3 linked regions of the Drosophila melanogaster genome follow. The protein of the gene in region 3 interacts with the protein of the main gene of each other region in a pairwise test. Each region holds a gene or a part of one and is shown on either strand. Other genes may lie near its edges. The genes, in order: Pex19, CG17292 and Acp53Ea.

The links.
Region 1: the proteins of Acp53Ea (region 3) and Pex19 interact in a two-hybrid assay, tested with the Drosophila melanogaster proteins (one large-scale study listed by BioGRID).
Region 2: the proteins of Acp53Ea (region 3) and CG17292 interact in a two-hybrid assay, tested with the Drosophila melanogaster proteins (one large-scale study listed by BioGRID).

Annotation. Positions count from the first base shown.
Region 1 is NT_033779.5:12,087,183-12,098,769, reverse strand, and holds Pex19 (peroxin 19), read right to left. Parts: upstream 6,949-11,587; 5' UTR 6,644-6,948; exon of another isoform or gene 6,412-6,643; intron 5,083-6,411; 5' UTR 4,909-5,082; coding exon 4,860-4,908; intron 4,777-4,859; coding exon 4,659-4,776; intron 4,593-4,658; coding exon 4,289-4,592; intron 4,223-4,288; coding exon 4,059-4,222; intron 4,002-4,058; coding exon 3,758-4,001; 3' UTR 3,535-3,757; downstream 1-3,534. Other genes in the region: Ced-12, read right to left, coding at 1-414, 708-819; Mt2 (methyltransferase 2), read right to left, coding at 1,098-2,074, 2,124-2,184; CG6712 (uncharacterized protein), read left to right, coding at 2,350-3,534.
Region 2 is NT_033779.5:8,366,605-8,378,215, reverse strand, and holds CG17292 (uncharacterized protein), read right to left. Parts: upstream 7,763-11,611; 5' UTR 7,575-7,762; exon of another isoform or gene 6,969-7,574; intron 5,759-6,968; 5' UTR 5,619-5,758; coding exon 5,591-5,618; intron 5,530-5,590; coding exon 5,463-5,529; intron 5,336-5,462; coding exon 4,928-5,335; intron 4,677-4,927; coding exon 4,302-4,676; intron 4,233-4,301; coding exon 4,088-4,232; 3' UTR 3,966-4,087; downstream 1-3,965. Other genes in the region: CG17294 (uncharacterized protein), read right to left, coding at 205-369, 423-639, 695-991, 1,044-1,132; CG13390 (uncharacterized protein), read left to right, coding at 1,443-1,586, 1,653-2,654; Wdr82 (WD repeat domain 82), read right to left, coding at 2,736-3,689; Pp2A-29B (protein phosphatase 2A at 29B), read right to left, coding at 8,496-8,500, 8,817-8,993, 9,186-9,458, 9,520-10,285, 10,345-10,419, 10,486-10,904, 10,967-11,120.
Region 3 is NT_033778.4:16,745,767-16,754,566, forward strand, and holds Acp53Ea (accessory gland protein 53Ea), read right to left. Parts: upstream 4,570-8,800; 5' UTR 4,518-4,569; coding exon 4,476-4,517; intron 4,411-4,475; coding exon 4,090-4,410; 3' UTR 4,037-4,089; downstream 1-4,036. Other genes in the region: CG15617 (uncharacterized protein), read right to left, coding at 1-323, 383-717; Acp53C14a (accessory gland protein 53C14a), read right to left, coding at 2,364-2,687, 2,740-2,781; Acp53C14b (accessory gland protein 53C14b), read right to left, coding at 3,201-3,557, 3,614-3,655; Acp53C14c (accessory gland protein 53C14c), read right to left, coding at 5,037-5,369, 5,427-5,468; unc-104 (uncoordinated-104), read right to left, coding at 7,675-7,771, 7,833-7,934, 8,000-8,136, 8,197-8,386, 8,477-8,503; CG34189 (uncharacterized protein), read left to right, coding at 8,741-8,800. UniProt on the Drosophila melanogaster protein: Responsible for physiological and behavioral changes in mated female flies.

The sequences.
Region 1 (11,587 bases), on a different chromosome or scaffold from region 3:
ATGAGTTTTCCGGCACCTCCCAGGACACCGTGCCGTGCTCCATCAGCTCCACAAAGCTGGCCAGGCTGTATTTCAGAATGTCTTCGTTGGTCTGGCCGCCATCCTCAATCATCTTAATGAGTGTGTCGAGACCCTTCTCCTTGATGAACTCCAGGGCAAATGTGTGATCGGTGCTTAGGGAAGTGAGCTCCTTTAGACGCAGCGCCTTCTCCTGTGGACTGCCATTGAGCAGCACCTCCATGGCATCGCAGGCAGTCTTGGATGGCGAATACTGCAGCTGCAGTACGGAGCCATTCTTGATCTCATTGCGATTCTTTTCGGTCACGTACTTTCGGTTAGTGGGCTCGTAGAACTGGAGTGCATAGTTCTGGTGATCGCTGATGGACCAACCATTGCAAATTTCCTGGATTTTACCTGCAAGCGAAGGCGGCATTAATACGCTGTAAATAGCAACTTCCTGACCAATTGTATGATTTGCATATAAATGAGAAAGAGGAAATGAGTGCGCTGACATCACGATAACACTTAAACATAGCGAAGGGCGTTGGTTGGAAGTTCCTCCCTTATGATGGGTTCCTTTGCTACTTTCAACATAATTCTGGTTTATTAACTTCTTGGAACTTTGTTTTACATGTTTAAAGCAGATTCTCTTTAAAACTGCTGCTCAGCAAGCGAAAAATCTTTGTTTTTATCCGCTATTTACTCACTTGCCAGCGGATGCCTTTGATCCAGATTTATCAACTGCGCTATATGGTCCTCTCGCTCCACGGCTATTTTCACAATGTGTGAATCCTTAACCGTCGTCTTTTTTGGTATCATTTTGGCACTCTTTCAATTAGCGATAATTGCAATTATTATTGTTTTTCTGCGTAAACTTATATTCTTTTTTTTTTTAATTCAGTGCAGTGTGACCAATTGACAAGTAGTATGGAATATCACACAGCACACAACCGTTGCGTTTTGTGGCATAGGCAACACTGGGCGGGAAAATTATGTGGATTTGAAATAAATATTTTAATGATAACAGCGCAGAGTAATTTCCTAGCTAATAAATGTATTAAAGTGAAAATAAGCAAGCAAATATGTTGTATTTTGTTTTATTTTATCGTCAGCAATTTAATAAGTTCACCGACAACCTTTACATTAATACTATTTCCCAGCAGTCGATACTTTTGTCGATTCGTTGTTTCTGGCGGAAATTCAAAATTCTCCGGAAAACTCATTAGACGAGCAACTTCCCGTGGCGTGAAATAGCGCAGTCTCACCTGGTGCAACAGGTCCAAGCGTTGCTGCAAAATCTTCTCCGACTTCGATGCATCCTGATTACTTGTGTCAATTTCCTTGACCAACTCGAAGATGCGGTGGGATTCGTCCTCCGAAAGCGGTGTGTATGCAGAGCCCGTGCCCTCGGTGTAATGGGTGTAGCCCTTTGTAAAGCACATGGATCTACTTTGAGCAGGATGTATTATGTCCATGACCAGCACTCTTTTGGTCAAGACATCGTCGGGCACCAGGAAATCGGGTGATACATTTTCCTCCACAATCTCGGCAATTTGTGAAAGACCCTGATTCTGGGCTATAGCACCCGGCATTTCTTCCCAGATCTTTCCACCGGCAAATGGAAAGTCTGCACCCTTGCGGGCGATGCAATAGTAGCGATATCGAGTATTTGGCACATTGAATTGCGTTGGCGTTAGAATAAACTCCCGCCAATGGAATCCCGACCGCTCCAGCGATTCAATAAACTGATTTCGCGCCTGTGAGCTCTCGAAACCCTTGACGTTTTCCATGAGTATGTACTCCAGTTCCTGGCACTCTGGGATCAGTCCACACAGATGAGTAAGTGCATCCGATCGCTTGTCTTCCGTGTCCCTTTGCAATCCCTGGCGAGTGTGGGGCTGACATGGCGGGGACATCAGCAGCATGTTGGCCTGAAGCTTTGTGACTTCCTTTACACTCAGGCTTTGAATATTCCTAGTTTTCACCAAATTACTGCCGTAATTGTGCGCATAAACCGCATTGGCCACGGTGTTGACATCCAAGGCGGCAACTATTTGTCCATCCAATTGGGCATCTTCAAAAGTATATATTAGTTTCGCATGTATCATGATCGACGAACTCACAATTAAAGGCATAATGCATGCCGCCAATGCCACTAAATAGTTCTAAGACCCGAAATACCATTTTAATTAAATATATTTTTGTTTACAAACTACACGTTGTGAGTGGCACGTTTTCCAACACTGCCCCACACAGCAGATTGTCTGCGTTTCCGTGTGATTGGTATAAGAAGAAGAATATCAACACGTGCCGCTCGCATTTTTGTGAATTCGTGATTCTCTCGGAATAATGATAAAAATTAAGCGAAAAACAGCCCCTCCGCCCGTGGAACAGGACTCGGACAGCGATTCCAGCTTTGACGAGGAGGAGCCACAGGATTTGGAAGTCCAGGAGGGGCCAGTCACTGATAGCAGCGATGAAGAAGCCGCCTCCAGCAGCAAAAAAACGGCCAAACAAGGGGAAGCCAGTGAGGATTTAAAGGAAGAGGATGATGACGACGATGAGGAGGAGAATGACGACGACGACGAAGAAGAGGATGATGACGACGACGACGACAAGAAGACACGAATTCCTGTTTTGAATCCCCTCAGCTGGATGCGCAACAAGGAGCAGCGTTTGGCGTTGTACAAAAAAATGAAGAAGGAGAAGCACAAGAAAAAAATGCAGGAGCGCCGTGCCCGACGGAAGGCTGGTGTACCCGCCAATCCTGGTCACACCATAGAGAGCCTGCGAGAGAAGGACCAAACAGAGGTGGCCAATCTGAACGATTCCGACAACGAGGAGTTGCAAAAGGAACTCCAACTGGACGATTTCAGCTCGTACTTCGAACGTTCGTACGAGCCAAAGGTGCTGATCACTTTTGCTGACAATCCGGTGACCAAGACGCGTAAGTTTGGACTGGAGCTTTCGCGCATATTCCCCAACGCCCTGGTTAAGATTCGCAACAAGTCGTCGGTGAAGAAGATATGCAAAAGCGCCGAGCGCGAGGAGTTCACAGACGTCGTGATCGTTAACGAAGATCGCAGAAAGCCCAATGGGCTGCTGGTCATTCATCTGCCCAATGGTCCCACTGCCCACTTCAAGCTGTCCAACGTGAAGCTCACCTCGGACATAAAGCGCGATCACAAGGAGATAACCAAGCACAGGCCCGAAGTGATCCTGAACAATTTTACCACACGTTTGGGTCTGACCGTGGGCCGCATGCTGGGTGCCCTCTTCCATCACGATCCCGAGTTCCGCGGCCGCCGAGCGGTGACGTTCCACAATCAGCGAGATTACATATTCTTCCGTCACCACCGCTACGAGTTCACCAAAGAGGGAAAACGCGTAAAGCTGCGCGAACTGGGGCCGCGGTTCACCCTGAAACTACGTTCCCTGCAGGAGGGCACATTCGACAGCAAGACCGGTGACTATGCCTGGATAATCAGCAACAAACGGCACGCCATGGAGTCGCGACGTCGCTTCTTCCTCTAGGTGTATTTCGAGGCATTGTATTTAGGTATAGAACTACTTAATAAACCAACAGTTAATACGAAAATAATAGCTTGATTGAAGAGAGAGGTGATAACCATTAGCGACCGCCGTATTGTTTTGTCGGTGATAAAATAAAATACAAATTTGCCTTAGCCTAAAAAATGTGCAACACTCAACAGTTAACCAATTGGCACACCACGAGACTATCGTGCTCCGTCAGCCACTACATGGTTGGGCACTGGGGACCGGGACCGCCGGCTGCTACGCCGGCAGTGGGATCGCCGAAGGGCAAGTCGCCGCCCGTCTCGGCCAGAATCTCTGGCGGCGGCTGGCCGTAGTCTTGCAGTTTGCGCATGTCGTCCAGCACGACGCGGAACTTCTCTCGCTTCACGGCGGCCGAATCCTCGGTCTTCTCGCTCTGTAAATGCCCCTCAATCACCTTGTACAGCTCCATCTGCTTCTGGTACCTGTATGTATTGGTTTCTCAATAAAAGTATCTTATTGCGAGTTGATTTCGAGCATACCTTTCCTTGTCCTCAGCGGAGAGCTTGGCGTCGTTCTCCTCGAGGTACTTGGGGTACTTCTCCAGCAGCTCCCGGATGCTGGGCAACAGAATCTCCGCCGAGAGCAGGCTCTGCATCATGCCCTCCATGAATGGTAGGAACATGTTTCCATCACCCTCGCCAGCCTGTCAAACGGGGATTGTTTAATGATTGAGCAAGGAGAATTCATATTTCATTTTCAGGATGCATACCCCTTCAAGATTCAGTGAACCAAACATGCTGGCTATGTCGTTCTCCGAGGCGGGAGCAGCCAGGTTCTCGGAGCCCTCTTGCAGACCCTTGAGAGCCTGGGAAATGCTATCAGAATACTTGGAGACATCCTCGTCGGTGGCCGAATTTTCGCCGCTCAAGGTGAGCGCTGCCGCTTCGGCCATCTTTTTGAAACCGGCCATGATCTGGTCGGGATCCTGGGGCAGCGGCGGAATATCGCCACTGGGCGTGTCCGGACCTCCGAAGAGCGTGTTCATGCGATCGGCCAGCACCTTGGCCTGCTCACTGAAGGCGGATAACAGGTCAGAATACAAAGTTCAAGTGCCGCGTTGCACTGGCGCATTGACTCACATGAAAAACGCATCTGGATCCTCGGAGCCCTCAGGTCCAGCGTTGGTCGCCACATCCGATGATGCGGACGGCTCCTTTTGGTCACCGGCACCACTTTTATCGAAATCCTGGAGAGCACCTGTGCGAAAAGTGGACGACGCAGTGCGCATTATGTAAGGGGTCGAGAAGGGATCGCCAAAGGCATTTCCGGGCTGTACTCACTGTCCAGCAAGTCGTTTAATTCATCGCCATTCTTCTTTTCTTCGGACATTGTGCAATTTCGGGATGCTTTTCCTTGATTTCGTGGTGGGTGGGAAATGGTAAAAAATAAAGACTGACTGAATCAATCAGTGGGACCGTTCATCTGCTGCTGGTGCATACCGCAGTCAGCTGAACAGGTGTGGCTACACTGACTCACATCTTAGTGCGACCGCATTCGTAACGGCTTTTTAAAAGGATGCGAAATGATAAGAAAAAAATTTAAAAATTAACTTTTCTATATAATTGTTGGTTTTAATTTTAAGATTTCAGTTTCGGTTAGGGCTTAGACAAAATTCATATTACTTAAACAACTTTTAAATGCATTTAATGTTTTTTTTAAGAAAAATAGCTATATTTTGTTTAATTTTTAGTAAATATATTCCTTAAATTAAGAATTCTTATTTGTTACTATTATATAAAGTTCAAAACAAGTTCAGAATACCTATTTCGAAATAATCTGGAATGCATTATTATTGTGGACTACACATAAGTGTGAAAATGTCTAGCCATTTAATTCATATAACATATATTTATTGTCAATGAAAATTTCGAGTTTTGATTTAGAAAATTATATGTCTTACAACAACAAGTCATCAGTACACCCATCTACAATATAATAGTGTACATATTTAAATCTAGGCCTACATCAGACTAATAAACTTAAATTCGAAGCACCTCAATATCCCTCCTGTCTTGAGAGACAAACCAAGGACATTAGTCGAAGATTATCTAAAATAATCACCCAAAATATTTACGCATCTTCTGCGAAACTCTCAGCCAATCTCCCCGGGAATGGCACCTCGCTGTGCGCGGACGGAGATCGGCGACCAAACTGCGACCAGAGCCCAAACCGCACATACTGAGTGGTGAGGGAGGGGTCGCAAAACCATCAAGGTCACGGCGCGACGCTGATGCGCGACCAATTCCGAAACCAGAACGTCACACCCATGGACGGGACACATGGATTTTGCAGTAGGGCGTCCAGCTCTAGGTCCACTCCCGCCCGAAGGTCACCGCTGCGGAGGAACCCCGCTTGGTTTCCTCAATTCCGCTCATATGGTCAAATGGCTGGGCTGGGATGGGCTGTGCTCTTTGCGACTTTAACCGCACGGTTTACCAGAAGAGCAAAACGAATCTTCGATTCGGTACGCCCACGCAGCGAAGTATTGTGGTAAATTTGTGTTTTTTCCTCTATTTCCACTATTGGGGCGGAGTTTTCTTCGGTCAGTCGGTTCTCTGAAAATGTCAGCATGGGCGGAGCTTCGACTGAAATAATGCATAATTTGGTGTTTTATTTTGCGGCTTAGGGTGGAACAAACCGCCTGAAACTCTTACATTTCCTACAGAAACAGGGTAATTTGACTTTTTATGGGCTGTAATCCATTTACAGAATATGCATACATATAACATCAAAAATTTCCCTAAAAACCATAACTCTCTTTTTAGGGAAAAATTTCATTCTCTATTCGCTGCGAACATCAGAGTATATAGTTCAACTTCAAATTTCTTAGAACCCAAGCAGTTCAGTTCAAAAAGTCAAGACAACCGTCAAAAAGTCAAAACAAAAGTCGAAAACGTAAAAACCCCTTCGTTGGCCAAAACAATGGTTTTTGGGTCACACTCACACCCGATCCCAATAAACCAAGAAACTCGCTCTTTTTTGACATAATTTTTAAGGCACCAACAGGCGCGTCATAAAGTTGTTTATTCCGATATAATCGGTTTGCTAGACTAGCTGAATTTACCTGAATCTCCAGCTCTATTTCCCCAGAAGAGGAAGGATTCCAACCGTCATAAAATGCCCATCAGCGTCTTCACAAGCATCTACACTTCCCTTCCTTTTTGCAGGAACTTTGCCAGGATACGATCCTGTACATCCTTTTCATATGCTGACTGCGATTTCACGCTCGCTGATCGCATCGCTATTTTTTTCAACATTTCCGCATCCTTCCAGCGAAAGATGCTCGATTTTACGATGCACTGAACAGGATATAATGGATTTCGCGATTGTTCGGTAATGACGATGATTGCGACTTTATAGACACATTATTTATATTGTGGCTGGTGTCGTGTGGCTATGGTAATAAAGTGTAAATAATAAGTATATATAAAGGAGTAAATAAATTAAGACACTAAATATATGTAATATATATGTAATATAAAAGGAATAAAAGTTCTTTAAAATAAAAAAATTATACTAATTAAATTAAACTCTGATTCTAGAAATCTGAATGTTACATTACATTCAAAATAACTTGTAGCTTTAGTACACCTTGTATTAATCATTCAAGTATCACAAAATATAAGATATTTATATATGTTTCGACATATTTTTGTGTCTGGCCAGGATGGCATTATCTTTTGATATTTTGGCCATGGTAATTGCGATTACAAGGCTCCCAGTCATTCCTGGAAAACGCTCACTTTTCCTTTGAAATCCTGCCCCGAAAAGAAGAACTGGAGAAGTCAACTGCTGGCAGCTTCCCGAAAGACAAGACACCCACATCCACCATCCAACATACAACATCCACCATCAACCATTGCGCAATGGGGCGAGCTCTTCATGCTCCGACACCCATCGCTCTCCATCAAAGTGGCCATGCAAATGAGCCCTTGCGTCTGCCATACGTTTTCCTCTAGAGGATTGGGTCGAAGGGTAGCCGACTCCAGATGATGTGGGTTGCTCTGTCTGTGCCCCCCCAGTCGCTGTTCTGTTTGATTAAGCGGAAATTAAGTGTGCGTTTCGGTTGCAGCCTCCCAATTCGCCATGCCCTGCTTTTTTTTTATCGTGAACTGCAGCACATATATGTTTTATGTTTCCCAATCGATTTGGTGGCTCAAGAGCTGCTTTTGGCTTCCTCAGGTCAAATAGTTTTTATTACAGTGGTTAGGAATTACTCCCAATTAAGTTTCATAGAAATTATAGATTGCTAAAACATAAAACCACTTCTAAGTAGGACATCATGAGAAACTTTTTAAGCTCTTCGCATAAAACTGAAGATTCTTTCCCACTAATGTATAAATAATCACGGTCTCTGCAGTCAATTTTTCCATTGGCAATGCATTTTTTTTAATAGAAAACGCCGACCGTAGCCAGTGATTAATGAAACAATTGAATGATTTTATTTAAATTCGCATATATCCGATGCAAACCGTGGCTAATGGACAAACGCCGCCGAAGAGAAGATCCAACATCTCCAAATCGAGATTCCATAGAAACACTCGGGATGTGAGAAAAACGCCACCTACTTTGTGGACTCTACGCCGAGAAAACTAATGATGTTCTTTCGCCATCCATCGAGTTTGTCCATTATAGTAGAGTATATGATCGATCCGCGATCGAACCTGATCGACTACCACAAAGCAGGGCAATTACAAATCGGGGAACTGGACAACAGGTTGCCGGCTGAGTTGGGAAATATGGATGTGGATGTGGCTCTGTGACTCTGGATGGAGATGGAACCCGGCCGGAAAACAAATTAATCTTGTTGACGTCGCAGCCTCGTCACTTTCTTCGCCAGGTCGAGGGCCCAGGTGTTTGATCTCGACCTGATGCTCCGATGCTACGATCTTCTGTTGGACAACGATGGGTTGCGCCTACATTTGCGCCTTCTGTTTAATGATCAATTTGTTGGCCTCCGTCGCCGTCTCTCAGATGTGTGCCGACAGCGTTTAGCAGTCGATTGGGCTCGGGATTGGTTTGTTTGTGCCCCGAGTTGCCGGGTTTGTTGTGCCCCAGGCTAATGAGTTTCTCGAAAGTGGGTGTATGTGGCAGGGGCTCCCCTTTTTGCCCCTGGGACACTTCCTACATGATCGGCGAAAATTCAGCCAGACTCTGTGACGTCCCAATACACAGGAAGATAATCCCTTTCAACTAACTAACTATTTATTATTTAATTTATAGCTTCTTCATTCTTATACATTTAGGTACTGAAAAATATATATTCTTAAGCAATAATTATACAGAATATGAATATTTCTTTGCATGAACAACATTTGCTAAGTATTTTCGCTGAGTGCATGACGAATGTCATGTGGTTGGAGTGCCAAAACCAAACGTTTGTGGGCAGAGGCGCGAAGTTTCCACCAATTGCGATCGAAGGTATATATGCTATGAGAGATGCTAATTTAAGGACAATGGAGTTCCGGGGAAGCCAGCTCGCGACCCACAAACAACTAATGCCTTCAATTAGCCCGGCTAAACTGCTACCAAGAGCAAGGGTTAATCGCCCGGAGATCGGGAAAGGCCCTCAGCTTTCCGCCCACTTTTTGTCGTAGAGTGGGCGTGGGCTGCGTTAAGCCGCAGCATTTTTTCGATAACTACCTGGACATGGACTCCGAGTTGGCCCGACTCGTCCTGACCCACCCAGATTGCCATGGGCCATGGCAAATCGTTTACAATTGTTGATCAATAAAACGTCGGGCTGTAATGCGATTATCCGCTATAATCGGGCGATCAACACTCGAGAACTTTTCCAAAATATTTGAAAAAGTCAACTGGCGATCGACGGGATCCAGGACACAGGCTGGCCAGGATCCAGGATCTAAGCTGCTGCGACTTTCCCTCTAATCTCGCACTTTGCCGCTATTTGTTTGCATGCTTTAGCGGGGATTGCGATTTACGATCGCTCCGGTCACAGGACTCCTGCGAAAGGACTCGCTCTGGGAGATTCAGCTCAGATGGGATAGGATGGAATGGACCACGGGATAGAATGCGACTCATATTTACTAAAACTTACTGCGGATTAGGAAAAAGTCAATCGCCGCCTGCCAGTCTGTCGAGCGAGTGGAAATATTTGAGGATCAGCGCAGAAGCGCAGGATCAACAGGGGGCTTAAGATTTCAGCTAGAAACATAGCTAAATGAAGGTATTGAAAATCAATTAAATTGTATATAATACTACATTAAACCAAAAACAAGGATTATTAGAAAAGTTGAAATGTTTGCTTTTCCTTAAAATATCTTTAGTAGGCCTGTAGCTAAATAAATAGTGCTATTTCTTTAGAATCTAAGTACTTAGATTTGCTAACTAAGTATAATATACGATGTCTAAAGATGTTGCTTGCCACGGTGTATTACGATATGCCTTCCAGAATTCCCTAATTTCTGGAAATCATGGCTCTAAATAGTCCATTATCTAAGCATCCCGTAGTGCGTTCGTCGGTCAGAGCCTTCTGTGGGCTGTGGACATGGAAATTCGATGCACACCACAGCATCCAAAGAAAAAAAAAGTAAGGAATCACCATGCCAAAGGGCCTGATAAAGACATTAGGACCCGGGGAACGTGAAACAATCAAGGCCGTTCCAATGTGTGACAACAGACCACATTACGTCCGGCCAAAGCGAATCGATTGCCAAACACAAACAGCAGCGGAAACTTGTAGAGTATAGGTAGGAAAAGTACCCTGGGATTCTGTGGACTAAACCATACCTATTACTATGATAACTATATACTTGTTATATATATAAAATACAGTTCCATCAAATATGTGCAATGAATGAATGCGCATGGTTATATAAGTTATATCTGATTCAAATATTTATTTTACGATGGGTTCCTATAACTACACTTTATTGCACTGCAATGGCATGCTATACTAAAGTTTATAGCCTGGCAATAAAACAAACTGCATGAAAGGTGTTGCGCAACTTTCGTCTGGGTTTTTAAATTTATGGAAAGGTCAAATGAACACAGCAAAAACTAAAAACCACATTAAAGAAACTTGTAAAAAAATATAAATATTAACAAAAATCTATGTTTAAAATTATTTAATTTAATGAAGTTAAATAGGCTTTCCTTTTCAGCACATATAAATATTTTCTTAAAAGATTTTGCGTTGAATTTTGAATTGAAACGCGTAGTATAAAAGCAACAGCTAGAGATTCCAAAATGCTTGAGAATTGAAAACTGCCAATGAATTTGATCGTATAAATCGCACAATGTGTGCATTGTTTTCATCGATTATATAGCTATTTGTGTGCATCGATTGAGCGCACGAGCCTCTCGAGGCAGTTCCTCCAAATCGGATGAGATTCGAGTCTTGGAGATGTGTAGTAGGGTCGCAGGTAAACGAAGCATTCGCTGGCGAAAGTTGAGGATCGCGAGGTGGATTTTCATTCATAGCACCCTGGGTGGCATCATAAAAAGTCTCTTAGCATCCTTATTCATTGCACGGATGTGTCTTCATTTTCCCGCTGGCCGATTCGTGGAAATGCGAGCGAAGCTGACTTGCAGCGTTTATGGCACCGATGCCTCCTACTGCTTCCTGCATTTCGGCCAGGATTCAGGACCTTTCTCTACCCAAAGTGACGATCCCATAGCAGAATCGCCTTTTTCCAAGCGTTGATAGCGCGAAATTAGCGTTATATGAGTTGCCTATTCAGCGCTCATTGTCCTGCCAAATTGTGAAATCAACGAGGATCAAATCGAATGGTGGGTATCGATGGTGGATTGAGGCGCCTCTCCATTTGATTCGAGTTACATATGTTTGAGGATAATTTAATTATCACAGAATACTTGCTAGTCTGCCATCGTGGCCATGGGCTCAAGGTCATCGGGGATTTTTGCTATCCTGCCAGGCGCAAATGTAGCGATTCCATACTGGGTGCCTGGTACTGCGAACTCCTCCCGTTGGGTTTGCTTAACCAAACGCCCAACGGGCAGCCGCACCGAGCAGTAGAAACCCAAC
Region 2 (11,611 bases), on a different chromosome or scaffold from region 3:
GGGCTAGTTCACACTTTAAAAACGGGTCCTTTATTATGTTCCACATGAAAAGTTTATAATCAGAACTGAACTTATTTTGAGCATTTAATTATATCTAAGCCTTACCTATATCAGTAAAGTCTTTTTAAGTAACTATTTTAAATAAAAAATTCGTCAGTATCTATGTTTTAAACACGATAAACATTTGCAGAAGCCCAATAAAGCCTAAGATTGGTTTTTCTGTATAATCCAATCGACAGCCTCTGCAAAGTTTTCCAACAACGCTGTTGGAGGTGGGGATGGTTTGACATCCGGCAGATATTTGCCGGTCTTGACCAGAATTCCCTGCATGCCCATGCTCATGGCGCCCACTATGTCATCATTGGCATCCTGCGAATCAAGAATTCGTTAAGTTTTCAAAATGTATTCCTTACTTTACATACATCTCCAATCATAACGCATGAGGCTGGATCCCGACCAGCCAGAGCTCCTTCGAAGAAATAAGGATTGGGCTTGCCAATCACTTTGGCAGTTCGTCCTGTAGCGAACTCCAAACCCTTGACAAAGCACCCTGGGCCCAAGGCTAGGCCTTCTGCTCGTTTGTAGTACTTACCCTGATGCACGGCGATCAGTTTGTGATTCTTGTTTTCCAATAGAACGCTATTGCAGAGATAATCGTTAATTGAGATAAGAATATCCTTGCTCGGATGCTCACTTAAAAGCCTCATTCAGCTGTTCATAGTTAAAGGCCTTGGGTGCCAGACCGATTACAACTGAATCCTTATAGCGCCTAGTGTCCTCCGGCGGAAAGTCCTGTCGTGCATCCTCAGACAGAATATAGTACGGATTTAGTCTCTCATTTTCCACATACGAGACTGCGGCACTCAAGGAGCTGTAGATCTCAGAGGCGTCAAGTTGGAAGCCAATCCTGCATAGCCGTTCGTGAAGAGTGGCCTTTGAATCCTTCGTGGTGTTTGTAACGAATTTCACCAGTACGCCAGAGTCACGCAATCTACACGGCAACTTTGAAAATAATTACGAATACCTTGGTTTAAACTAAGCACCTTTTTAACGCCTCGACAGCATTCGGAGTAGGTTCATCCTCCACATGCAAGGTGCCACTGAGATCAATGAGTGCTCCTTTAATAGACATCTTTCTCAACTGTTGAAAGCTTCTCGTTCCTCTGGATAACAAAAACATAATTTCCAGCTGGTTCGATAGCTTTCGATAGTCGTCGCGATATGTTTATGTATCAGCAGGTGATTTTCCACAGGTGTAGACGGGGATTCGAATACTTTTTTAAAAGTAAAAAATTCTAGCCGCCCTAAAAATACATCTTAATATATTTATATAATACATTTCTCGAACCTTTAGATCATTTAATTTAATTTCACTTGATTAAGATATATCAATCCCTATTACATATTTTTCTGACTATGCCCATGGTCACAAGACTTCAGCAATGTTATTCTCTACCGGCAAATCGTTTCTTGCGCGATTTTCATTGAATATATCCAGAAATGCAAAACCAATTGGTCTCATAGCCAACTACTGTCAGGTGGCATCAGCGCTGCGTCCGAAGAAGGCGAAGTCCACCCGGAAAGAGGTAGAATCATAAGATTGCAATGGAATTTACATAACTAATGCCACACTTTTGTGTCCACATTTCCAGGCGCAGTACTTCTCCGATGCCAAGAGGATACGTGCCATCGGCGGAAAGGGTGGCGACGGTTGCGTGTCCTTCCTGCAGCTATGGTGCAATGAAAGGGCCGGTCCAGATGGCGGAGACGGTGGCCACGGCGGGCATGTGGTGTTCCAGGCCTCTAACGATGTGCGCAACTTTAACCACGTGGGGAGTGTTCTGAAAGCTGAAGAAGGAGAGCCGGGCAGCTCCAAGGATTGTCATGGCAAGAACGCCAAGCATTCTGTGATCAAGGTTCCAATCGGGACGGTGATCAGGAATGCGCAAGGTCAAATTGTCGGGGATCTGGGACAAGCGGATCTTATGTTTGTGGCCGCTCGAGGAGGAGCCGGTGGCAAGGGCAACCGTTTCTTTACCACGGACAAGGAAACAAGTCCCAAGGTCAGCGAATACGGTCCTAGGGGTGAAGATCTATCATACACTCTGGAACTGCGCAGCATGGCGGATGTGGGTTTGATTGGTTACCCCAATGCTGGCAAAAGCACCCTACTGAATGCACTGACACGGGCCAAGCCAAAGGTTGCTCCCTACGCCTTCACCACGCTGCGTCCGCACTTGGGAACCGTCCAGTACGATGATCATGTCCAGCTCACCATTGCCGATCTTCCCGGACTCGTGCCCGATGCTCATCGCAATAAGGGCTTGGGCATACAGTTCCTAAAGCACGCCGAGCGTTGCACCTTGTTGCTGTTCGTGTTAGATGCCAGTGCACCGGAGCCATGGACGCACTATGAGCAGCTAATGCACGAACTCCGCCAGTTTGGCGGACGTCTGGCGAGTCGCCCGCAATTGGTGGTGGCCAATAAGCTGGACGTGGAAGAGGGCCAAAACAACTTTGAGGAACTGCAACGTCGCCTGCAAAATCCCGTGCTCGGCATTAGTGCCAAAATGGGTCATAATCTTGGACAACTCCTGAACAGCATACGTAGAGGATACGACCGCCACAAGGACCAGCCCCAGGAATCCAGTTAGAGGCCTCTGTTTATGTTATGTTGATTTATTATTTATAAATTAAATTGTAATCTTATAAGCTAAGCAAGCGGGAATCATTGCCTACAAGCCCTCCTCGGATGTGGGCAGCCAAAAAGCCATGTTGGTGCACGCGGACGCCAGCATCATGTATTTTGGATTGAACTGAACGCATTGCACCGGTCCCGGATGGTCACCATTCAGTACGGACACCTTATTGCCAGTGTCGGCATTCCAGATGTGCACTCGTCCATCGGTGCTGCCTGAAAAGATGAACTGCGAGTCTGGGCTGAAGCTTGCCTCGATGGGAATGCCCTTGTTGTTTGGATAGCCCGTGAACGTTTGTAGCGGAGTGCCGTGGAAGGCATCTACGAGCCGGATGACCGATCCATTCGTGCTGATCAGAATTGTTTTGCCGTCACGGGAGAACTTAAGGCCAGTCCAGTCGCATTCCTTCTCCTGATTAAGTTTAAATGTGACGAAGGGGCCTTTGTCGAAAGAGCGAAGGTCGTACAATTTAATGCTTTCCGAGTTAACGCCAGCGGCGAAGATCAAGCCCTCGGGATCGTAGGCAGCAATGGGTCGTCCAGAGAGATGCATCAGTCCCTGGCAGTTGGGCGAGCGCAAGTCCCACAGGCGCAGCGTCTTGTCCAGCGAGCCGGAGAGAAAGGTGTCCTCCACCGGCGAAATGCACAGCGAGATAACCTTCTTGGTGTGGCCGGGGAAGTAGCGCAGATATTTGTTGTCGTGCAGGCTGAGATAGCGTATGGTGTCGTCCACCTTGGTGGAGCTATGGATGGCCGTGTTGTTGGCGTGCGTAAAGTGGATTAAATCCACTCCATACTTCTTCGAGTTCACCGTGCGCGACTGCGTCCCCTTTTCGCAGTCGTAGATCACGATCTGGTCATCCTCGCTGCAGGATATTAGATGTTCGCCGTTGGGCGCAAAATCGATGGCGTTGATCTTGTCCGTGTTCTCTCGGAAGATCTTGGCCACCTTAAAACTGCGCACCACCGAATCTATTAGTTTTATCTTCATTTTAGCCTGTCGAATTTCGTTTTGTTGTCAATATGCTCAATTGTTGCAAACAATGTTATCGGTGGCAGAGGTTGACGGGTCGATAGCTGTGTTATCGATATCGCAACTTTCGAACTGGTTCCGGAATGAATTGCAAGAGCGGAACCAGCAACCAGATTTAAATTATTTGAAAGTTCAAAAAATCCATTCAAAAAAAGTAATTAATAAAACTCATTTAAAACCCCAAATAGTGCAATAATAATGTATAAATACCCCAAAGTAATGCAAAGTTTTTTTCAACAACAAAATTTAAGTATATTTTTCTCGTAAATCAAAATGTGGTGTAAGGCGTCATAGAAACAACAATATTAATATAGCTACATTTCATAATGTACACAGTGCAATTGTAGATGGTCTTATTAATTCGTTTTCTCCGACGGGCAGTCACAGGTGATGCTGTGGGTATTTCCCAGCAGATCCTTGGGGTCAACGTAGACAGTGCCCTCCTTGCCTCGAGCAAAAGGTGTATGTCCGTTGGTTTGTAAGTAAAAGTCGCCATGAATTCTGAAAATCACAATTTCAAATGATGAAACTAAATTCTGCGCTATGCATATAAGGCAAGTAGAAACTTACGTCGTGGGACAATGATGACCCATCACCACGGGCGGGCAATTCTCTACTATTTTGTTCTGCTTGAAGTCCGACCATTTCTTGGCGGGCACAGCATCGAATCCAATGGGATATCGATCCGAAACGCTCTCGGCCCAGAACCACCAGCTCCTCCGATGACTGGACAGATCGTTGTCGCTGAGCATCTTGTAGTTTCGCTTGGGACAGCCAGGCTGCAGGCTGTATCCACCATTTGGCCAGAAATCCGCCGTGCCCGTGCTCGTCGGAGCTCCGTACAGCCAGGCGTCCGTGTGTATCACGTCGACGAACTCCGCATCATTGGCAGACAGGTGCGTGCCCGGATAGAAGAGCGGAAATGCGGGATCCAAAGCGGAAATTCTATAAAAGAAGATTGGAGATAAGTGAGACAAGAAAAGGATTCAATATAAACTTTATAAACTTTGCCGAACAACGATTCTAAAAAAAAACTTTTTGTATTACCATATGGTAATACAAAAGTGTTAAGCTTTGGACATTAAAATTATTAACTAAATATCGTATATTAAACATCGTATATCATGACGTCGGCATAGACTAAAATCGAACCGAGCATGAATAAATAATTTGAAATCAAACCTCTTTCATTTTACCTTTTTATCTTTCTGACACCCTTGGTGCGTTTAGTAATCTCTCGGCCGAGGAGTCCGGCCAGCTGGCCGCCCATCGAGTGTCCGACAATGTGGAACTTCTCAATGTCCAGGCCATGGTCGAACATTTTGAGCAGGACCTTGGCCAACTCTGGGCCCAGCTGTTTGAGGTTCGGGAAGGCATCGAACATGTAATTGCCATCGGCCAGTTCACCCCAGTCTAGGACGATAAGATTGGTATCCTTTCGCTCCAGATAGGCCTCGGCTATGACGTGAATGCTCTCCACATCCGGATCTTCCAAGTAGCCGTGCAAATAGAGCACGGTGTTCTTGCCCAAATCCAAGTGCTCGTCCTCCAGAAGACTCTGGAAATCGGTTAGGTCATAGATATCGCTATCTGCCACCGTGGGTCTGTGAATAAAAGATAATGCTATAGGTGAATACTTGAATATATTTAAGAAATTTGGATATTAGTGCAATAACATGGCTTTATGTATAATTTTTCTTCATATTTACTAATAATAATATTAGTTCTTACCCATAATATAGTATAAACTTGGCTGTCGTTAGATCCGCCTTGGAGTTCTTGAGTCCGCAGAGGAGCCCTGGTTTAATAATTATCCAAATTGTATTAGCGGAATTTTCCATTTTCGCACACTTACTTACTGGATTTGTTTTTAATGGCCTTGTGCATGTTTCTGTGGGCTGTCGGCTATTAGTCCATAAAGTGATTGATTACGTGGCCAGTGGATTGTCCGGATATCCTCTGGTCCCATGCGGTGATTGGCAAAGACTGGGCCGGGCACTCGGTTGGCCGGATTAATGTGGCGTGGCCTAAACCCCCATTGAAATTGATAACTCTAATTAAATTTCAATCTTTTTCGGATAAGATAGTAATGGTGAGTTCGGCCAAAAAAAGCCTTGCGACATCGTAAGCATCGTGATTCACACGAGTGTGCCGCCCCAACGGCGGCAAAGTCCGTGTGGGAGTCCAAGCCTTTGCCTGTCCATGCATCATTCATGTGCTCCTACGGTGGAACATCCGATTTCGGAACATTCCAAATCTCCGCATTATTATTCATCCACTTCTATCGGCTGAACAAGTTTAATCGAACGCTAATCCCATTATGCACTTGAGGACTAATTCAATGGTGATTGAATGAATGCCATAAAAATAAAAGCTTTGTCGCCAGCCAGTCTACTTATTTCCAAATCACCACGATCAATTAAAATTGCAACATAATGAGTTTCCTCAACAGGAGTGAGCTGAATAATTACAAAGTTTTCCCGTTGAAAGTTACAAACTTAAAGATCGCCGTAACTATTATTGATCCATTAATATGATGGGTTTAATTATATATAGACTAATACAGCATGTTTATTTAAGTACAGTTTTACTAGCTATTTAAGTGCATTTTATTATCACTAAAATTAACTTTTAAAAAGTAATAGTCTTTTTATGGGCGGACCCTGTAACTTTGACCTTAGTAATATGGCTATCATAAAAAAAGTGAAATGTTTGACAGTTCAACCAGCTACAGGGCCCACTGTCTATTGCCAGAGATTACCTTAACCCGAGGTCTAAGTGAACAAACTACAGTGCTTAAATATGCAGACTTGAAATTACAGCAATGCCATTCAAACACACTTGTAAGCTACAGTCCAACGTCCCTAAGTGGGAACAAAAGTTAAAGTTTAGCTTGGAATATATTTGTTTTCGGACTGAATTAAATTAGAAAGTGGTGTTTCAGTTTAAGCATACATTGTTAAAGTACAAAGTACAATGCAGAACACAAGCAAATACAAATACTTTTTAAAATAAAATATATAAATACTTCAATGAGATTATGAAATCTCAAAACTTTCTTGTATAAACTAATAAATTAATATTGCAACTATTATTCTTGTCAACCTCCTAATCATAACATATCTAACTGAGGGAAGTTGGACTGTAGAAATGCTTATAAATGTGTACATAGATATATGTCGAAATGGAAGACCCCTGACCCTCGTTGCCTGCCCAACGCAATGGTAATTTAAGTACCGGCCTTCTTTTTTTGCCTCGATTTCGCCGTTGTATCGCGGACATAAATAAAGAGCACTTCAATTTATATTCCGGCTTATCGGGGGAAAATTAGCCGTCAGATAATGCTCAGTCGCACGATGGAGTATCACTGGTTTCGAGGGTAAGGAGGGAATCGAATCGGCGCCAAGTGTTTAGCGGAAGGTAAAAATAATAACGCTTAGCGAAACGCGCCACTTGGGGAAATCGGGCTAAATAATGAAGCACTAATTGTAATAACAGCTCAGCGTTTTTGACATATGCGAGTAATTAATGCATAGAGCCCATAGACTATAAATATTCGGACACTTGTTGCGTCCACGGGGGCAGGTGGATCGTAGGTCAGTGGACGGTAAACGGACGCGGAGATTGCGACAGCCGTGGGTAAACTGATAATGTTCCGCATTTGGCTGTGTTTGGTTGGGCACACACAAACACCTCGTTTTATTGTATACACACAATTGATTGGTTCCACCCATTTGCCCAATCAAATTTGCATCTGATCCCCCCATTGACTCCACCACATTCCACGCCGCATCCGATTCGATGGCGCTCGAGCGTCAGACGGAATAATTCAATGGCACTTACGCGTCCACACTCGGTTTCGGAATTCGATTCGAGAGTTAGGCAAACATTGGCCAACGCGCAGCGGAACGGCAAAACAAACAAGCGTATCGCTTCGTCGCAAAAGTCCAACTGATCTCTCGCTAGAAACTGCTCGCCACCACCACCACCACCACCACCATCATCCAATTAAAAAACCAAAAAGAAGCCCCAACTATCGCCAGGTGTCTGTTTGGCGCCTATCGATATCAGTCTAGCTTGCTATCAAAATCGTTTACTGCTGGAATGATTTTAGGATTTCAAAATAAATTAACAGTATTTTTAAAATGTAAAAATACAAGTATTTTGTTTGTATAATCTATGCTTTTCATAGCCATACCTCTCACAAATTATAAATAATCAATGCACCTGCCAAATAATCAGAATGTATATAAAGCTTAATTTGAACGAAACTATAAAAAGGAAAATATTACATTTCCAAACTTTGAACTGACAACTGAAACCTAGAAATTGGTATACAATTTTGGGAGTTAAATATTCAATTTTGCTCCACATTAAACTTTTCAATAGATCGTGTGATATTGTTTCACTACAATTTTATTTTTGCATTCAGATGCGATCAAATGTTCCAAACTCTACAAATGTTTTTAATAATGATCGTTATGCCTATGGTAATTTATATATAATATAAGTATGTAAGTAGTAATGTTTAGTTGTGTGTCGCGTTTAGTGGGTCTCCTCCCATGCTGATTCTCCGATTCTCTCCTTCCTCTGACTCCTGGCTCCATTCATCCCTCATCCAGCATCGGCTGCAGCGTTTAACACCTTCCGGGATCCACTACAATTTTCCGTTCTTAAGTGTTGTTGCTACATAATATGTTTTGTTGCCGGCGTTAAATACATACAGTTTTAAAAATAGAATAAAAAAAGATGCAAGAAGGTTGATTACGCTATAAACAAATATACAAAACACATTATTGCAGACGAACACAGAGTGGGGAATGGTGAGATAACCACGTGGTGATGGCGATGATACCGGGAAAGAGACAAAAAAATATGGCACAACATTAGTATCGGTTAAATATTTGATCCACTGCACTCGCACTTTAATCAGATCGGACATCTAGCCTGGTTATCTTGAACAAACAAACAATCAAATGTGAATACGATTATGACGGGGAGGATTAAACACATTGGCTTGTGGAACTGGCTGGAGACAGCGGGAGGCACATCACACGTCATGTGGTTGGCTACTCATCCTCTAACATTCCGAGTCAAGCGTGGGCGGCTCCGCTGCCTTGCCATTCATCTCCTGCAAAATGTCATTGTCAGCTGCCTCCGGCTGTCGGGGCGGTTCCACTATCAGCTTTGAGTCCATTGCCGCCTCAATTTTGGCGCCCATGCACGGCGGTATTGCCGTTCTAAACACATTCAGTTCCATTTCTATGGCAGGATTTTAATTAAAATTAAAGTCTTACTACTAACTGACAATTTATGAATTTGTGTAACTCTCAGATTCCCTGCATGCCTTAAAACTTGTGATAATGAATAATGTTATATATTGTTCTATAAGTTAGACCCTTTCTATCCCTGTCAAACGCTAACCTTGTTTATATTAGACTGTTTATTGCTTACCTGCAGCTATGCCGGCAATGGCCTGTGCAGCAAAATGCTTGACATCCACATCTGTGTCTGTGTTCAGTTTGTCGAGTGTGGGCTTTACTTGGGCATCAATGACGCTGGCCTCCAGGAAGGGCGAGATCTTCTGCAGGGTCTTTGCCACGTTGAAACGAACATTGGCAACGGGATCAGCGGCAAGCAGGAGAACTGTGGGCAGCAGCAACTTGGTGGTGATATCTGTGCCGCAGACCTCTGCCAAAACATTCAGGCAGAACAAGCAAGTCATTCCTAAAAATCATAAGAACCATAAGCATATATTGATCATTACAATTTCAATTCGATAACTTACTGTGCAAATAGTTCTTGTTGCGCGACATAACCAGAATCATTGGAATTATGGCCTGTTCGGCCCAGGGAGCTCCGAACTGCTCGACGAGCTTCTTCATGTTGAGGGTGGCTGCCTCACGAATGGCGTACACGTGATCGTTGAGCCATCCCATGCAGAGACCGCGCAGTTTTTGGTCAAAGAATTCCTGACCCAACTGACCGGCCAGAGCAGGCATGTACTCGATGATGGCTAGACGCACACGCCACTTGGAGTCCTCGGCCAGCTCGACGATGGCGGGCAGAAGCGACTGTGACAGTTGCTGGATACCGATGACGTCGTTAACGCAATCCAGGTTTGAGATGATGTTTAGGCGCACTTCTGGGCACTCATCCTTGAGTTGAATAAGGAACAGGGGGAGCAATTGCTCCACAGTCTGATAGGCGCCCAGCATGGGACTCAAGCCCATGATCACTGAGGCCAGAGCTGACTTCACATGAGGATTGGGGTCCGAGACAAGATCGCGGACATAGGGCAAAATGGAACTAAGGATGATTTGCACCTGGTTGACCTTGTCCAGATTGGCGCAGAAGTCCTTCACCTTGGTGGCCACTGCAGCGCGAACCTCGGCCTCGGCATCCTTGAGCAAGTACTGGAAGGCAGGCACCAAGTCCACCCTAGTAATCTCTGGGCCCACAGCCTTTTGCAGATCAACAAACTTCTCGGCCACCATGTAACGCACCCTCCAGGAAGAGTCGCTGGCGCACTGGCGCAGCGTGGGCAGAACCAGCTATGGAATATTTTTTGTAAGCCAACAGGTATTAACAATTTCAGCGCTGATCAACTTACGTGCTCTACATCATCCTGAGGCAGCAGCTGGGCAATGCTTACGCATGCCTCTACAGCCAGCAGACGGACAGAGTCCTGGAAATTAAGGATAAGGATTGATATTTTGGAGTGTTGTTAAATTGGTCTTAATCAGGTGCTTACCTGATCATCCTGTGCCAGCTGGACAAAGTTGGGAATCAAATCGGACTTCAGATACTCCGTCTCAACGACCTTGGCAAACTCGCCCAGCTTGTTGGCCGCTGCACGGCGCACCATGGGTGTCTCATCCTGGCAGAGCTTTCGGAAGTTGGCGCGCAGCTCGGCCTTCACTGGCTGTGTGACGCGTGGATAGCAGACCGAGAAGAGGCCGCAGGCAGAGGTGCGTGAGGTGAACCAGTCACCGGAAACCAATCGCTGCAGTGTCGGCACCACATGGATCTCCAAATCCTGGGCGCTGTGCTCAGCGGCCACGGTGCGTAGAGATTCCACAGCCTTGTCTCGCACCACGGTTTCCTCTACGGTGGCCAAACTCTCGAGGGGCGGAATCAAGTACATGGCAAACTCTGGCCCACCAACGAGACCTGGAAAGTAACGGCGGAACATGGTTGGAAATGTTTTCATTAGAAATTATATCTTTGCTCACTAGTAAAGTTGCCCAGTTGGTCGGCCAGGGCCAGCAGTACCTCGTCCTCATCGTATATGGTCTCGGTGAGGAAGGGAATCAACTCGGACCGTGTGCGCTCCTCGCCCAAAGCGAGTGCAATGGTGGACAGTTTCTTGATGGAGTTCAACCGAAGCTGTTTTGGTAAGGGAAAATATTAAAGATGATTATTTTAATAGGGTATTCAAATTTAGGATAAGTGGTAACTAATTCTACGATTTTGAGGTTATTATTGATAGGGCTATTGGTTTTTTTTTACAAAAGCGGTGGTCAACCTGTACCCTACATTTTATTTTCAAAAAAAAACGTAGCATATATATTTACTTAAGATATCTTTTTTAGATAAGATAAGTGATTAGATTATTCGATGTAACGAAAATATTTCATCTTACTATCTCATTTTAAAATCAGTTATGGTATTACTATTGATTGAAGTTGATCTATTTTTAACACGCGCAGTTGTAAATTGTTTTTGCAAATAGCAAATGCGTAAAAACTTATACTTATACATACATAAATGAAGGATAACAAAATCTACAAATAAAAAGCGGATAAAGACGTATACCCATAATTGCAATTAATTGATAATAGTAATTTTTTTCGCAAAACGCTAATCTTGTGTATATC
Region 3 (8,800 bases):
GCGGTGGTCCACGTGGCCTGAGCACGGTCTCGAGAAGATTCGGACCTGGTTGATTCTTTGGCCTGGGAGTGGGCGTCAAGGAGCGAGTGTGTGGAGCCAGCTCATCCTTTTTGTGAACAGCTGAGGTGGCAGCACGTCTCGCCCGAATCTTCTCCTCCATTTTGCTGGGCACCATGAAGCAATTGGACTCCTTGTAGACAGGCTTGCGGCGATCGTTCCAGGGGAATGTCCATTGAATGGGCGTGAAGTCACGACGCCAGGGTTTCCTGGGCTTAAACCAGCAATCGCAGGTCCAATCCTCCTCACCGGGAGCATCGTCATCACTAAAGAACCAGATGAGTTAAGAAATCATGATGCTAAGAATGTTTAAGGTTAAACTCACCCCCTAACGTAGACACGAACGTATCGCGAATTCTTTCGGAACATTTGCAGGGCCTCATTGAAGGTCATCTCCAGGGCCGGCACATCATTGATCTGGGTGATCTCGTCGCCCACTCGCATGCCTCCTCTCTTCGCCAGGCCAGTGGGTGACACATTCACAATGGTCAGCGGCTCGAACTGGTCAATGCCGCCAGTCACCTCCATGCCCCACATCGCGTCGTAAAAGCTCATTATCCTACAATCCGTCTCCAGGGTGTACGTCATCTGCAGCTCGTACGCGACATTGTCGAACGCATCCGAGTCGTACTTGGGCACCCTAATCTTTGAGTCGAACATTGTGGCGAACTCAACAGTAAGTGTGGCCCCCTAGAAACTGGTAAGATGAAACTGAATCCAAGCCGTTTGAAACGGACAGAAGGTACTTTATCGTCTGGCGCTGCTCGAGTTGATCACTTGCTTTTATAGCCGATAATTTGGCAAGTAAAGCGGATACGGATACAGGGACAATGTCAAGGGGTTTACCAAATGAATGTGCCAAGTACAGGGAAAAGTGCCTAAAAAATAAACAAAGAAAAAATATAAATATTTAAGTAATAAGATCGTTGTTATCATTTTGTAAATTATGTTTATAATTTATAATATAAGAGAACATCACATTCTGACCAAATATATCAAGTTGAAATTGTTATTTGTTTTGTAGTAAAGAATCTCTGTTGCTCGCAAGTATTACCTACTGTGTATTACGGGAAAATCAATTCAATTGATTTGCATTTAATTGTTGTCTATTTTTAGTGGCAGTGATTTTGGCTGACGGAAACCAAAGCGACCGGCCAAACGACAAGGAAGATCCCATGGCCGCTTTTGGCCACTGAAAGTGCAGCCGACGCGAGAGCCCAGGGAGCAGCCAAGCAGCTCCAAGTCCAGTTCCTCCACACACCGCTGGGCAAGTGCTAAGCACTTGGTCGGAACTATTTGATTTCACTGACCTCAATTATGGCTGCAACCGAGTTGGTCCGAGGTTGGCAAGTAGGGAGAACCGCGAACCAGAGGCTTCTACCGGACTATTGAATTATTCATTTTGAAAATGGTAGAAAATGTTGTTGGAAGAGAAACCCGCCAACAAAAGCCCATAAAATGCTATTGCCGGGGGAGCAGCGGCCAAATGGCAAAAGGCAAACAGTAGCGACAACTTGCCTAATTACAGCAGATATTCTGGTATGGATGTGCGTCCTTCAAAAGTTAGTATACTCCATATTCTCCTCATCCTCTTACTCCGAAAGCACTTAGCAGCTTGTCGGAGCTTATGCACTACTGGCATACTGCGTGGGATTTGCATCACTGAGCTTGGCCAGCTTTGGTTGTCATGGAATTTCATAGCCACAATGAAAAGGATTTCGACCATGGAATTGAGGTAATTACTTAGCAGGTGCTGCTGGCAAGTGGAGGATTACCTGGCCAAGTGGAGCTCTTGTTTTCGTAGCTATCTTGAACCTAGTCACGTTGCCAGTGCAACATTTCAGACATATAATTGTTTCTGGTCTTTATCTAAAAATGAAGCAGTCACGATTCCATGTCGACTGTGCTATATAAATCGGCTAACTGAAATGCACCTTTAACTCAATAGCAATGAAGCTTTTTCTCCGTCTGCGTAAGTACTAGACATTTAAACAATTATACATTTTTTTTGTTCTACATAATTTATATTTTAGTTATTTTTACGCTAATACTGATCCTGGCCGACGACCAGAAGATAAATCGAATTTTGTATATAAAAAAACGTGTAACCACCAGTTGATATGTAGAGTTAATAAACATTACTTTTAAATAACAATGGTTGTAATTTCAAATGGAAGTTCTGTGATATGTTGAATTTGAATTTTAAAAGAATGAGAATAAAACAATTAAGATGGTTCTGATCCGTTTGCTTGGCCAGGCAAACTTTCGGTATATTCTGAATATTTATTCAAACTAGGTAGGTTGTCTTACTCATCAAAGCACCTCAAGCTATCAAACTTGGCTATAATCGGTCTAATCAGTCCGACTCCGGTGGTAAAGGTTTGTACGAGACATTCCGGTCGATCGTATATCGCCTTCTTGCCAAACTGATGGGCCACCCTAATAAATCTGAGAATGCTACCAGTTAGTTTGATTTTCGGCTGAAAATCAACGCAATCGGATAGGAGGCTTATGGCCGTTATAGAGTTCTCGATCATTAGGGCACCGGCATCAGTCACCACTTCCAAACATCGCAGATAGTGATCGAGTTCCGAACTTATGGCGGCTTGAACTTGCGACTTTTGGCATAACTAAATGGCGAAATGGTTAAGAAATAATCCCGTTAAAGGTCGACGTACTTACAGCCAAAAAGCTTAGTAACAAGGCGATCTTAATCAAATGCATTGGGGTTCTTATTCCAGCAACTTTTGATCCAACTTTGTGGGCCATGTGGAAATATTGCCCTATATATATAGGCCTCAGGATAATCGCTTTAGTAATGCTGTCGAGCATCACTGATACCCAATGTACCGCCTTTCAATTGTTATACCGAAAATATGATTGTAATCCGAATCTAATCTTACTAATTTCCAGACCGTGGCCGCGACTTCTCCATTATTATCAAGCTTCTGTTGAATTAATCATATAAAATAAAATTTAATCACATAACTTGAATGTGTTTAGCCAACTTTAACTTCAACTTAACTTCCAAATGCAGTAGTTATATTGTAAAATTATACTTAATAAGAAATACATTTTTGTTGCTGACATTTGAGACCCCATATTGCTCTCGATTTATTTATGTAATGTGCACACTTTTCTTTTTAAATGATATAATCTTCTTCGTCCAAGCAACCTAATCCCGATATCTGCTCGGCAAATGGTTTGATTGTGGCAGCCAACTTGTTCAGTAGACCGTGCAGACATTTGGGTTCGTCAAAGACAAGTTTCTTGAAGAATTCATAGGATACCTTTAGGTACCAGGTAATCTTTCTGTCTTTGCCGTTTGCCGGTTCCAAAGTTACGTATCCGGAGCATTGTTTCAACTCATATACGGTCGGGACGATTTTATCGGCCAGGCTGGTCAGTGTTTCGATGGCCACCTGAGTACACTTGCCCAGCCTTCCCCAGCTTTCACTTATAGTGGCCTGGGCCTCCGTCTCCCGGGGAATGAGGCAGACCTATGGAGAATGGTAAGTATATTTAAAAAGTAATTAAGTGAGCCAAATGTACTCACAGCCAAAATACTGAGCAGAAATATGGACTTGATCACGCTCATTCTCCTGTTTTAAGTCGCGATTATGACCAGAAAAAACTTAGAATATTTATGAAAGGGCTGTCCTATTTATAGGATTACAAGCTAATTTTAATTTCATCCACCTAAGCAGTGCTAAAAAAATTGGTTACAGTTAAAAACCATAATAAATTTTGCGCCTAATACATGTCAATTCAATTTTCAAATGCAATACAACAGAATAATTTGTCTCGCATATAAAGTATTTCAGCCGATTGAATCCAAACCAAAATGTGTTTTTGGGTTTCGGTAATATCATAATATAAATAAAAAATTTGAGAAAAAAACCGCACTTAACTTATATCATGATTAATTTGGAAGGTCTATTAGGCATTACCCTCCTTTAAAAAATATACATTTTTGATTGCTGTGCTTTATTAATGCTCAGAAATTTATTTTATTATGGCCAAAATAGTGATTTATTCACCCAAGCATTTGTTGGTCTCAAGCGATTTTACATAAGGCCTCAGTAGTCTCACTGATTCCTTGAGTGGCACAATCAGACACTGAGTCTTGTCAAGCGCACCTCGCTTAACAAGCTCATAGTACAACTTAAGTTTTGAAAGGTAACTATTTCCAATATCGGTTGGTGGATTGAAGTCAATGCAGTTCAGTAAATTGCGAACAGTTGGGATTGTTTCTCTCAGCAGACTGGCAAGCGCTTTAGTACCAATTCTATTGCATGCCAACCAATTCTCCCATATTGGATTTTGCGCCTCCGTTTGGGCCACAAATACGAGCTGTTAAGTGAAGTTTATCTATTGTTATTGTGCCTAAAAAGATCATATTTAAATAATGTACTTACAGCCAGTAAGCTGAACACTAGTGTAACCTTTATCAGTTTCATTGGAAGCCTTATCTGTGTGCTTTCGACTAAACGGCTGAAGATCAAACTTTCGGAGCCCCTGTGTTTTATGCCCTATTTATAGGCCCCAGGATAATCGAATCAGCACGGTCTATTAGAAGCTTTAAAAACAGATTTTACACTTCAAAGTGTGTGAGCAGTTTATGGATTTTGTTGCTATTGTTAATCGTTTTCGCATGTTCATTAACATTTTATATAATAACATTATACAAAAGGTTACAAAAAGAAGGCATATAGTTGAAACTGAATTCAAATTGAATTCGTAATTAATTCCAGACCCGCAAAAAGAATTTTTAAGCTTGTGCTTTCTATTTCGCTGTCCTTTTAATAACAACTATAATTATCTAGATTTTATTGCCGAATATAATCATATAATCTCGCCAAATTCATTGTATTCCTGTGATTCAAGCAACTCATTTAAATACTGAAAATATGTCTATATCTAAGGCTAAATTAAGAATTTAAAAACCAAATAAAGTGTTTGCATATGTATATATTGCTTTAGCTGAGCCCTGGTAGGCACTTGCCACTAATAAGTTTGTCAAGGTGTGGCGACACAGCGTCGTAGCCTTCTTTCAATGAGATCAATAGACATCTTTGGTTGTTCACGACCGTTTGCAGATATTGATAGCCCAAGAGGGCAAGTGCGGTAATATCAAGGTCCTTAGTCTTAATGGCTCGAAAGTCAGCACATTTTGCCAATTTTTTTACACATGGTATCGCCCTCACGAGCAACGTTGTGGCTACTTTCAATCCCGATTCTGTGCACTCCGCCAGCTTATTAAGATCTACTCTTAAGGACTCCACTTCGTTTGGCAGCAAGGATCCCAGCAGCTTTACAATTTAAAAATCGTAGTCAGTAAAAAGTTTTGAGCAAATATTAAAACTCACAAGCAAGCTGAAGGCGATGTAAAAGACTTGTTTGGACTTCATGGCCGAAAGACTTCAGTGAACACAGAGGTTCCAGACGTAAACTAAACGCCACTTATAGTGTTTCTGAGTTGCAGAATGTAAATGGTTTAACTACGCTCATTTGCGACATAAAAATGCTGTAAAATATCAAATTAATGTTTCAGTCCGCTTCACAAATCATAGATATCGAGTCAATATAAGCCACATTTTCAGTAATCAGCTCTATCTTACCTTACCTTTCTTCGTATAGCCTAATCAATATAAAGCAACCCGATAGTTTACAGATTTTATTTAAAGCCGTTTTATTTTATATTTCTTTAATAGTGATACGCCCTGGCAAATATCAATTTGTTTTGGATTATACATACACATAGCATAGGTTTTCCCTCATTTTCCACGCGTTGGTTCTGCTCTTCTAATTTTCATCTGTCATTGGAAACGGTTGCCAGGCAATCATCTCTTACATACATTGATATATAGCCGATGTACATATTTAAATCGATTTTGAAATGTATTGTACCATATACGCATATATAAGTTGAGTTTCTTGCTCGTTAACTCGCTTCGCTAATATATAGCTCTATATTTTTGGTGTGTGCAATTCTTTTGTTGGTAAATTCAAACTGGGCCAAAATAGGTTATTACATACATAGATATCATATAATATGCTTGTAAAATGATTATTGTAATTACAATTCTCTAATATGTTACAATTGGAAATTAATTCAATAGTTTAACAAATGTTTACATTTTGCTACAATTAACTCAAAACCCAAAACGCCGACTCAGTTCCGAAACGATTTCTAAAAGAATACGTATTCCTCGATCCAGCAACGATCGCTTAACGTTCCGTGTCCATTTTTGCGACACAAACGAAAGCGATCCCTTCAACAACTTTGGGAGCTTCGAGGCTTGTGATCCGGGCACAAGTGAAGCTCCAATTGATCCATTAACCTGACCTAAGCTCGTGCATCAACCGATGGCGAAACGCAAATTAAATTCAAAGTTCTTTTCGCAAGCAAAGCAAAATGTCGGTTTCATTTTCAGTTGGGAAATATACAGGTGGCCATTGCGTACTAGTTTAAGACTCTTATCAAAACTACAATTGGTTTGTTCCGTAACGTGTTGCTTGAAGCTTTAGCAGGTGGTTCCGAGAGGGAGCATTTTAGAAGCGAAACTGTTTGGTATTTTTGTGGGGAGTCTGTGGGGGGAGAAGCCTTAAAAGCCGTCAACAGTTGACAATGTGGGGCAGCTGAGTTATAGCAGCGCCGATTTCATGGTTCGTAACTCTGGTGTGTAAAATAGTTTCATTCGCATATAGTTCTGTTTTGCTTGTATATATATATAGATCTAACAATAATCGTTACCTTTATAGAGATTTCGCAATTCTGCTGAGCTTATACCTCACGTCTCCTATATCCTATATACTGTACGGTCTTTCTTTAACACACACACACATATTTTTGGTATCATAATTTTCTCTGGCGTTTACCTGCTCTTTTTAAGTTAAACAATACAAGTACATGAAAATTTGTGTATAAACAGCAAATATATAGGGTTTTATACATTAATTCATTACATATAGTTCCTCATTTATATATATGTCTGTATTTTGCTTTAGTTTGCTCCATTAAAATGCATATACGTGTGTGTTTGTTTGCATTACAAGCTTTACATATTTGTCGCATACTTGAGAAAAAATACATAGTCTAACTGATCAACATAATATCACGTGGGAACTGAAACTAAATGGTCCGTTAACTAATACCAAATATTTATACAATCGAATCAAACGAAGGCTATTTACAAAATTGTCCAATAAAACTAATCGAAGGGGATTCTAAAAAGTAGGCTATCGTATCTGATTGGAGCTGCTAGTGCCTACTCTTTGGGCCGTGGCCAACTAATCACGAAATGTAATATAATCCATTGTTGTATAGGTTGTTGTTGAACTACTTAATAATTACGTACGCTTTGCATTTGGTTTCTTTCTGCTCATTATCTCTGATTTTTGCATTCGATTAAGATGTGCTTTCACAGCAACAATCATCTATTTCATTTCCCTCTTCCGATGGAATCCTTCAAGCTATATCAATCAGTTGCCAGCTGCTGTCCCTGCCATTTGTTGTGATCTCCGCCTGACCAGTCGTCTGGCGATACTCAGGCGCTGCAGCCAGCCATAGCCTGCGTCTCAGTAAACCAAAACGGACTCCATCGTAATCGTATCTCATTTGCTCGCACTATTGGCATTCGCCGCATTGGTGGCCTGGATCTGGGAAGCCGTCTGGCTAGCAGGCTCCAAAGTCCGTCGCGCCAGGCGGGATCTATTGAAAATATGATATAATTATTATTTAGAAAATGCTGTATATTCAGTTCTTTACTTACTTTATCTGCCCAGCAAGCAATGGATTGATAGCATACAGCCAGTCGTGTACTTCCTTGTCACCGAGAGTTTGCAGCAGATAGCCACGATGCTTGGTCACCACACTGAAGAAAAATCGATGTATTATTTAGCAATGCATGTCTACTTCTTAAGTGGAAATCAAACCGACCTGAATGTGTTGGGTATCTTGACCATGGCCGCCTGGTCCTCGCTGCACTCCACATGCGCAGTCGCCAGATTGAGGACAGCCCGTTCAACGGGATCCTTCTCCGAGCGGTAGATAAACACGTACGGGCGACGGACGATCTATTTAACCAAAACTCAAGGTTAGAATGCACTTTAAAACATACAGGGTTAAATACATACCACCCAGCGCTTCTTCCAGCCGGAACCGCCGTGCTCCAGGACATTCAACAGACCCTTGCGGGCCACCACAGGACTCACGCGAATCTCCTCCAGTTCCGGCACATAGAGACGGAGGGGAAGAGCCGGCTGAGTAGCCGGAGCAGGTGCCTCCCAGCCATTGGGTGCATCAGCTCGATCCGGTGAACATAATCTGATTGGGGAAATTAAAGGTTGTTAGTCAAACGCCTCGCTCAAGAGTTGGTTTAGATTTATAGGTTCTTTGGATAGAACAGAAAATTACCTGCGTCGAATTACAAATTTGTTGTTTCTAATTGTGTAAAAGAAAACCGAAAGGAAAACAAACAAATAAAGTATTGGAAGTTTCGTTTTTGAGTATCTCGAGTTATTAGGAAAATGAATGATGGTGTGTGTTTATCGTTAGTTTTTGCACTGCGATGATCGAATGGTGGGCAATTACAGGGAAGCAGCTGGCAGCAGAAGCAGTAAAGGCTGGGAAACAAGTGGAAGTGATTGCTAATAGCTTCAGTTGCTTTTGTTTTGCATGATGGTTTGGTTCAATTCCCTCTGCTTTCTGCTGCTGCCGGCCTTGCTGATGGATTCGGTC